Linked DNA regions of Nothobranchius furzeri. The protein of the gene in region 1 interacts with the protein of each later gene in a biochemical or structural test. Links are inferred from orthologs where the notes say so. Each region holds a gene or a part of one and is shown on either strand. Other genes may lie near its edges.

Region 1 (4,762 bases):
CGAAGGCGGAGGGAGAGGGACCGCTCTCGCTCTAGAGATCGGGAGCGAGACCGACGCAGATCTCGTTCACGTTCTCCACACAGGAGGCGTTCAAGGTGAGTTTTTGTCCCCCTGATAAAAAGCAACATGCACACATACAAGTGAAACTCAGAGGATTAGAATATGGAGCAAAAGTTTGTTAATCTCACTAATTCAACTTAAAAGGTGAAACTAATCTATGAGACAGTCATTCCATGCAAATCCAGATGTTTCAGCCTTTATTTGTTGATGAAACCCCCCATTCAAAATCTCAGATGATTAGAATATTGTGAAAAGGATCAATGTTCTAGACTCAAGTTGTCGCACTCTGATCAGCTGATGAATCCAGAACAGCAAAAGGTTCCTGAGCCTTTAGATGGTCTCTCAGTCTGAGCTGGATTACTGACATGAATGGACTTTTGCACCAGATTCTCATTTTCCTGTTTTAGCCTGTAGACATGAACCCTTCTATCCTTTCTTAGACAATAATGTTTCCTTCCTCAGTTGTTGTGATCCTTTGTCCTGCAGCCGTCTTTATGCTCTTTGGACAGGTCTCCCCCTAGGCGCCACCGCTCTTCCTCGTCGTCTCCCATGAGACAGAAGGACAGACGTGATGATGAGCGCAAAGAAGTGAAAGACAAGTCTTCAAAGCCCATCCAGATCTCAGGTTTTGTGTTGCTGATTGTTTTCAGAAAGAAATCCTTTGTTCAGTTTGCTGGACATTTATAAACGTCTTTAAACAATGAGTTAAATCAGATATTCTTTCTGTTTTTACAGCAGAGGACATGCAGGGCAAAACGGAGGAGGAAATTGAAATGATGAAGTTAATGGGATTTTCTTCATTTGATTCTTCTAAAGTGAGTGAAAAATGTGTGCATGCAGCCACCAGGTGGCGCTGTGTTCCTGAGTTGTGGCCATTCACCACGACGGCTTCATGCTTGCTGATACTTCGCAGTTTTAAGACTGTTTGACATTCAGAAAACGACACAAGACAGGAAGTGCACCATCAGCCACTGTCTAGTAGCGTTTGCTGATTGATGAACTGTAAATGTAATAGACCACATCAGGATAGCATCTGCAGCATGTATTTCTGTTTGTGATTGAACATTGTTTTCCCACAGGGGAAGAAAACAGATGGATCAGTTAATGCATTTGCCATCAACGTTAGCATGAAGAGAAAGTACAGGTACGTTCACAGAGAAAAATATCAAGTTAGCCTGCAAATACTGAAGTTTAGCGGTGTCATGGAGAATTTTGTGCATAGCACATTAAGCAGAGCGACTTTTAAAATGATTGTTGAAGCAGCTAATTTTTAATAAACAAAGTTTTATCCTGTTGGGAAATTGGCATTACAAGCAGCAACCACTATTAAAGTAGCCAATCACGTCAGCAGGTGTCTCTCTGCAGAGAATCCTGCTCTCCTATTGACTCTTGATGATGTAATCTGCAAGTGTTGAGAGGGAAGTTGTGATGCACTGTTGTTCTAAATGTTTTTACAGGCAGTACATGAACAGAAAGGGAGGATTCAACAGGCCGCTGGATTTCATCGCTTGAAAATGTCACGCTGCATTTCCTCCTTTTTCCAGCAAGGGGAGGACATGGATTACATGCTGTTAAATGTGATGCAGCAGTTCTGTGTATATATTATCACTCAACATGTAGTTGTTCCTTCAGTTATTTAGTTTTTGTTGCTGTGCTTTTTACGTGTTGTTGGAAATAAACTCTTTGAAATTGATGGTGTGCTGATTATGTAGAGCATGTGTTTCTTTTTCTGCCCAGATCTGCACAAACATGTCAATTTGTGTTGATGTATTTGAGGAGTCGTCACTAGTACCAGAGACCAGGGAGCTTCGTCTAATCCAATGTCTCCTCTGGACAGAGATACCTGGGGTCGTTCCTGAGATCGGCTGGAGCCACTAGTCCAGTTGAAAACTCAAATGTGTCAAAAGATCTTCACATATTGTGAGTTTTCTGTAAATGTGAAAGTTTTTGTCAGATTACTGCAGCATCTCACAGTCCCACACATCTATGCAAAAGCGGAGCTTTAAAGATAGATTAAATAAAAGTTTAACTTTATTGAAGTTTCAAACAACAGAAGTGTGTGTTGTAAATGTTCTTGCATTTTTTATTTATTTTTTATTAGGGTTTGGATTTTTGGTGCATAAGAGTACCTGGAAGGTACTTTTCGTTGCACGAGAATGATAAAGGAGTTGTCTCGGTTTCTTTTCTTTTCTTTTTTTCTTTCTTTTTTTTTTTTTTTTTTTTTTTGTTTGTTTTGTTAACATATTTTTCGTCGTTTCACGTTGATTGCATTCAGGAACATTGTGTACTTTTTTTGAATGCGGGTCCGCTTCTTTTCAGTGTGCCGGCGAATGAACCTGGCGGAAGTGATGAGCGGCGACGGAGGTCAGTCAGATTGATTGAGCAGATTATTGCACTGCTAGAAATGTATACATATAAATTCTATTCAGATAGATTCCTGCATAAAACCTACTATGGTGGGCGTGTTGGACTCGTAACACTGCGTAAGCTCCGTCCACCCGGCGCGCTGGTACGTGCGTTGATATTTCAGTCTAGATGTTTTCACAGAGTAACAAGTTAATGTGTGTGTATGTGAGTAATAAAGTTTCTATTAAAAAGTTTGTGAAAGTGCGCTTGCGCGCACATTGCAGGTTGTGATAGGAAAAGTAAAGGGACTATCAAACCAATCGTAGAAGGAAGAAGTGAGGCAAACAACACCACGAGAGCCAATCACAGCCGTACACCACGAAACAGCATGGCAGGGAGGCGTGGCTTCTGTTAAAGGGACGTTGACATTTTCGTGAGCTCGTGGGCATCGGAGCCAATAGCTGACAAGTTTACCTGAAAACAGCCAATCACAGAACGTGAATTCAGTATTGAGAAAAGCCGTCCATTATGGCTCCCTAGTTGTTTACTGTCTAGTCCACAGACATCGGTCTAGTTCACTTAAGAACCAAAATGGCGTGGACGGTTATCAGTTGCAGTGTGGGTCGATCCCTTTGAGTCATTGATGTTTTAGACAGCCAATAAAAGCTGGAGTGGATATAGTCAACATCCAATCATGTGACAGCACACAGCGGCTTTGTGTTACAGTACAGTTGGGAGCTGCTATCCACATAAGCCTCTATTTTGGATGCACTTTGACAAATTTCCGCCGTTCTGTGTCAGTCGTTACATTCAGCTAGACGAGGCACGCGTTTTTAGTGATAACCAGTACATAACCAGCTAGCCAAAAAGTCTGGAACCAAAACGGCTGGATTGCATCGTCAAGATAATCCAGGAATTAGTTCATCTTTTTAAAATATTCCTGATTTCCGGCAAGTGCGTCCAGCCTAACAGCATCTTTTTGTTTTTTGGCTGATGACTTGAACCTAAAGTCGTTTGTAGTCAGTCGCTAACGTTTGCCAACTTTTTGTTGTTATTCCTAAAACTAGTCAGAAAATACTATCGATTTTTTGTTTCGTTTTTATCAACAGCCATCTGTATTTCTTGAAGAGAGATTCGTCTAACCAGTGATACTAAGTCACCCAAATCAAATGGTTTAAAGGTATAATCTTAGCTGTGGGGAAGTGTTAGCGTCTACCGTGGCTAAAAGGCTACCACCAAGCCTTTAAAGCTGTTTTTTTATATAGGAGAAACCAGTTTCGCTTTCCACGTCTTTTATCGGGACCTTTTATTTTAAAAATCGATTGATTGAAATCCTGCAGAAGCAACTCGAAAACAACATTTTAGAACAATAAGTGAGAACAACAGGGAACCCAAGAGTTCAGAAATAGAAGCGTGACTACAGTAACGGAATCCCTCGTTGGATTATTGTAATATTATTAGTGTTATTGTTGAAAATGGCGTCGATCGAAATGGTGCAGATGTTGATCGAAGCAGCAGAGTACCTCGATCGCAGGGAACGAGGTAAAGTATATTTTAATTCTAATTCTATGCTGTTAAAAAACAACACATTCCCACTTCGTTCATGTCTGCCCATTATCACGCTGATCGGGCTCTTTATGCGTCCGGCAAATAGGTTTTATATTCTTAAGTTGCACATCCTGTTCTTAACCCAGGTGTTCATCGTTGACTATGATGATGACAATAAATAGGATTTATAAAATATGAATGGTGCAGTGATTAACGTGCATTGTGCATCTTTTATGAAAGGAGAAATCATGCAAATGCTATTAAAAATATAGGAACACAATGTTTAGTTGCAAGCTCCTCCTTTCCTTCTGTTGTGGTTTGCTGGTAGGGTTTATCGTAGTTCAGGATGACATCATTGTCCAAGCTGTGAGGGTGGGTGGGGGGGCACTGTTTAAAGATACTGCATTATTAAATCCGTTCATTCCATGCATGCATCCCAGCATAACACATTGGATGTAAGATGATGCAGATGGGGATGTGTGCAACATCTCGTGTCTCCCACCCTGGCTATGTTTGCAGATAACAGGACATGTGACCACTGTTGTTTATTTGCTTGCAGAAGCTGAACACGGCTATGCCTCCATGCCACCCTTCATCAGCAGCAGAGAGAGGGAAAGCTTGAAAAGGAAAAGCAAAAGCAAGAAAAACACAAGTAGCAGGTAAAGGCATACTCAGCTTGTTGAATTGAAAACCTGGGGGGGTGCTGCACACAGCCAGGACGCTTGGGTTAAAGGGTTGACTCCTATCACGTTTAAAGAATAACCAAGGCTTTCATCCGATTTCACAGACAGCAGAAGACCCAGTAAAT
Region 2 (4,761 bases), on another chromosome or scaffold:
AAAAAAAAAAAATGAAATCACACATCAAATGTGAAAAATAGCTACAGATTGCTAACAAATAATATAATTATTTTCTTCACACTGTGAATTCACTTCCCCTTACCTTCTCCCCTTGTAATGAAGGCACAGAATCTCTTAAACCATGAAAGCTATCCTTGATGTGGTCCCTCCGTTTGCGCTCCAGCGCATTGTGATGTGCTCGTTTGTCTGCCTGCAAAAAAAAAAAAAAAAAAAGAGTAAACAATTTTATAATTCAGACATTTTGTAAAATCAAAACAAAACAGATCCCATGAAAATGTACTCATATTTGCTGGACTCCGTTACTCTGGCCTTACAATATCATCTCAATCCTTATTTGCATTCAAATAAACAAACAGCACACAGGTCGTTGTCTAGCTGACGGTGTGTGTGTGGAGTGAATGCAGGGAAATGAATGGGTGTTTCATGAGTCTTTATTTGTTTATAAATAATTCAATATTAAAAAACGACCAGGACTAATACAGTTTATATTCAAAACTCAACAACAAATGAATCATCAATAAAAATGTTTGCAAGGATGCTTTCATTTGGTCTTTCCTGCCAGATCACTCACTCACACTTCCTCTCATGGCTAAACTTGTGCATGTTGTGGTCAATTAAAAATCAAAACAAGAATAAACACACACATTTTAAGCCTATCAAACAATATGCCTCAAGTAATTTTCAATTACGATCTCAATATGCAGTTTTGTGATATGTTTGTGATATATTTCCACATATGGCTCTATTTCCAAGCATCAACAATTCTTGGAAACAAAAACAACTTTTTGTGTCCTCCGTCAGTGCTTGTACATCCAAGGTTCTTCAGCAGCTTTTCTCTGTTTTATTAAGCACTCAGAAATGTTTGTTTATTTCACCACTAAACAGCCTAAATATTTTAGGTTTTACATGGCCAGAAAACTTCTAGGGAAACTAGGGATAAGCCAATTTATCAGGCTGACTTTACCGTTCTTTTGCAATACCGTTTCATTGGCTGATATAGAAAAAATGGTAACTATTGGCCCAATTTGCCTCTTTAGTGAGCCAATTTAAAAACAGGCACATCCTTGGGTCAGTATGACTGCTACACAGATGCCTTTTCCTGCCTAAACAGCTTCTTTCCTTCAACTCTGCTAAACTCAGCTAAGCTACTGCTAGCAGGTAGTCTCAAATTAGTGTTAATTTAGCATGCAATAAGGCAGAAAACGTCTAGTCATCAGAAGTGAAAATCTGTAAAACAAATGGCAGCACATATCGGCCATCTGCTGTGGTATGTCGGTATCGGCAACAGAAAACCCATATCGGTTGATTCGATTAGAAGCACACAAAACAGATCATAATGAATAACGTAGCAGTCTGGAAATTATGTGATGCTCTTGTTTTAATTTCTTGTGGTGTCTCTGACAATAAATACCATTGAGTAATTGTGTTAAGTAACAGTTTGTTTAATATTGACCAAAAAAAAATTGTGATTATGATTTATTTGCCCCCATGATCCAGCGGCATTAGAAAAGACATTAGCACACAACTCTGTCAACATGAATTTATTGTGTACACTTGTTAAATTGCTTCAACAATAAGGGCTCAACTTGTCAACAAGTGCACGCTTCCGGCAGCTGCATAAGGATCTAAAGCTGCAACTCAAACAAATGTGGGGAAAGAACAACCCCTAGCAAAAATGGGATTTTAGCATAATTTCCCACTCTGACAAAGCTTTGTGCACGTTTCTGTCCTGCAAAGTCTAAATGAATCTACTGTCTGCTCGGTCAAATCAATTCATATCCTCCACATATGTATTTTTAAAGCCATGATGCATTTTACATTCGTGCAGCTTTAATGGAGATCGAGCGACGCCAGCCAGTGTGTAGAGAGGTCGGATGATACGTGAGATACCAAATGGGTCAAAGAGAACATCGAGTTCTTCATGCCTATCCAGTTTAAAGAGGTTGTAGCCAAGAAAATAAGACAGGCGATTGTAATCTTATGTCCGATTTTAAATGAAACACGCATTACAGAAACGGTTGTGACCAGTGCTTAACAGGCCTGGTTAGTATGGTGACGTGTATGGATCAACCTCATATGTAGTTTTTTTTAATGAAACGCTCGCAAAGCAGAGTTTAAAACACGATTGGGGGAAAACATGAAACATTTTGTTTAAAGGGAAACATATTTAAATGTTTCGCCGAGCTGACCTTCCTTACAGCAACAGCTTAGCTCTGCTGTTCGTCTAGTATCTCGTTTTCAGTTTCGATCACTTCAGTTGCGTTTCAGCGAATTTAACATTTTCTTCTCTTTAAATGTGCTAAAAACGGCCAAGATGTAATAAAAAATAATGATTTAAACAAACGGTTGTGTTTGGAGAGGGGGAAAGCTAATGTCGCTGTTTCTCTAATGCTGTGAAACAGGGTAGCTTATTCGACAGCCTCGTCTCATGTGCTCGATTTTTATTTATTTACCAAAAGCCCGAAATAAATAAAATCAAACTAAACAACTTCCACAAGTGGCAGGCCAAACGTTAAAAAAGGAGTTAGCCAGGAAGCTAACAAGTTAGCACAAACACACCAGTGGGGGGTAGGGATATTTATGTAGCCTGGTCGGCTAACAGACCAACTAGCTAAAACAAGGAAGAAACTGAAACACCTACATCGCTGTCGACTTCGATGTCATCGTTTTCACTCATTCTTCAGTAAAAACAACCTAAAAAGAAAACAGGCAGCTGTCAAAACAAAGTGCAGCGACAACTGGAGGTGACCACAGCGTAGCACAGAGCTCCTGCTAAGGCAGAAACATGACATGCAATCAACCGTTTTTCTCCACGTGACTCGCCTACACATGGAACGGAAAAACACACACAGCGCGTGCGCTTTAAAACACGGAATCGTGGGAAATGAAGTATTTTGAACAATACTGCCCTTGGGGGCGATTTTGAAAAAAAAAAAAGACAGAAATTAATTTTATTAGATATATCAAATTATTAAAATTTTATTTCCATGTTTGATCATTTTTATTGATTTCATTCCGGAACTGCGCTGCTCTGGGTGGCTGCATGTTGGAGTATCACCAGTGAACTGAAGAATCTGCTAAATGAAAAAAAAAAAGAGCCTTCAAGGAGGGAGACAGGGAATTATTGAGGAGTATACAGAAGCAACTGAAGATCAAGATCAGAGACAGCAAGGAGGCATACAGGAAGAAGCTGGAGAACAAACTACAGAGGAACAATAATAGAGATGTCTGGTCAGGGATGAAGATCACAGTCTTCAAGCAGAGGAAGGATTGCACAGATGGCAGCCTGGACACAGCCAATGAACTGAACAAGTTCTTCAATAGATTCAGTTCAGGAACAAACCCAGCATCCTCCTCGCCTGTCCCCAGCCAATCAGACATCCCATCCTCCTCTGATCCAACATTTTTCTGTCACACGCCAGCTCTTTTGTCCTCTAACACAGTCATGGAATCTTGTGGTTCTATAAATCTATCTTCAACCAAGTCAGGAGATGCTGCTGCCCCATTTATCTCCCCCTCCCACCTATCTATCTCTAGAAGTCAGGTGAAGAGGCAGCTGGAGAGACTGAACAGGAACAAGGCTGCAGGTCTAGATGGTGTCAGCCCCAGTGTACTGAAGGCTTGTGCAGAGCAGCTCTGTGGGATTCTGCAGCACCTCTTCAACCCCAGCCTGGCCCAGGAGAAGGTTCCAGTCCTGTGGAAGACATCCTCCCTTTTTTCCAGTTCCAAAGAAAACTCGCCCATCAGTCAATGACGACTACAGACCGGTTGCCCTGACATCCCACATCATGAAGGTCCTGGAGAGACTCCTGTTGGTACACCTGAATAAGCAAACTAGGACATATCAGGACCTGCTGCAGTTTGCTTATCACCATGGAGTTGGAGTTGAAGATGCCATCATCCAGCTGCTTCAACCAACCCACTGTCATCTGGACAAAGCAGGCAGCACTGTGAGGGTCATGTTCTTTGATTTCTCTAGTGCATTTAACACAATCCAGCCTGATGTACTTTGCCAGAAACTCCAGAAGACACAGGTGGGGGCCTCAACTATCGCCTGGATTAAAGACTACCTGACAAACAGACCACAGTTTGTGAGGCTGAAGAACTGCACATCAAACCAGGCGATCAGTAACATTGGAGCACCACAGGGGACTGTACTCTCACCATTCCTTTTCTCCCTGTACACCTCAGTCGACTTCCAGTACAAATCAGAGGCCTGTCATCTACAGAAATACTCAGATGACTCTGCAGTTGTCGGGTGTATCAGAGATGGACAGGAAGCTGAGTACAGAGAGCTGGTGGAGCGCTCTGTGGCATGGTGTGGAAACAATCATCTGACCTTGAACATGAACAAAACAAAGAAGATGATTTTAGACTTCAGAAGAAACAGGGTGGAGTCAAACACCGTTTCCATCATGGGAGAAGAACTGGAGGTGGTTGAGGAATACAAATACCTTGGAGTTCACCTGGACAACAGACTGGACTGGAGAAAGAACAGCCAAGCTTTTTACAAGAAGGGACACAGCAGACGGCACTTCTTGAGGACACTTAGGTCCTTCAATGTCTGTAGCAAGATGCTGCAGATCTTCTACAAGTCTGTTGTTGAGAGTGTAATCTCTTCAGCCATCGTCTGTTGGGGTAGCAGCATCAGAAGCAGGGACCTGAAAAGGCTCAACAGCCTAATAAAAAGCCTGGTTCTGTTCTGGGGACGACTGTGGAACTGCTGGAGGAGATAATGCA

What was found.
Region 2: the proteins of mxd1 (region 1) and protein max form a complex in vitro, tested with the Homo sapiens proteins (4 studies listed by BioGRID, with this or other methods). The link is inferred for Nothobranchius furzeri from reciprocal best matches to the Homo sapiens genes MXD1 and MAX.

The regions. Positions count from the first base shown.
Region 1 is NC_091757.1:29,115,246-29,120,007, forward strand, and holds the start of mxd1 (max dimerization protein 1), read left to right. Parts: upstream 1-1,839; 5' UTR 1,840-1,955; coding exon 1,956-1,980; intron 1,981-2,379; coding exon 2,380-2,424; intron 2,425-3,100; exon of another isoform or gene 3,101-3,881; coding exon of another isoform or gene 3,882-3,948; intron 3,949-4,351; exon of another isoform or gene 4,352-4,409; intron 4,410-4,513; coding exon 4,514-4,613; intron 4,614-4,762. Other genes in the region: snrnp27 (U4/U6.U5 small nuclear ribonucleoprotein 27 kDa protein), read left to right, coding at 1-95, 570-685, 796-875, 1,140-1,204, 1,518-1,572. UniProt on the Homo sapiens protein: Component of a transcriptional repressor complex together with MAX. In complex with MAX binds to the core DNA sequence 5'-CAC[GA]TG-3'. Antagonizes MYC transcriptional activity by competing with MYC for MAX binding.
Region 2 is NC_091758.1:33,258,547-33,263,307, forward strand, and holds the start of protein max, read right to left. Parts: upstream 2,843-4,761; 5' UTR 2,699-2,842; coding exon 2,663-2,698; intron 212-2,662; coding exon 104-211; intron 1-103. UniProt on the Homo sapiens protein: Transcription regulator. Forms a sequence-specific DNA-binding protein complex with MYC or MAD which recognizes the core sequence 5'-CAC[GA]TG-3'. The MYC:MAX complex is a transcriptional activator, whereas the MAD:MAX complex is a repressor.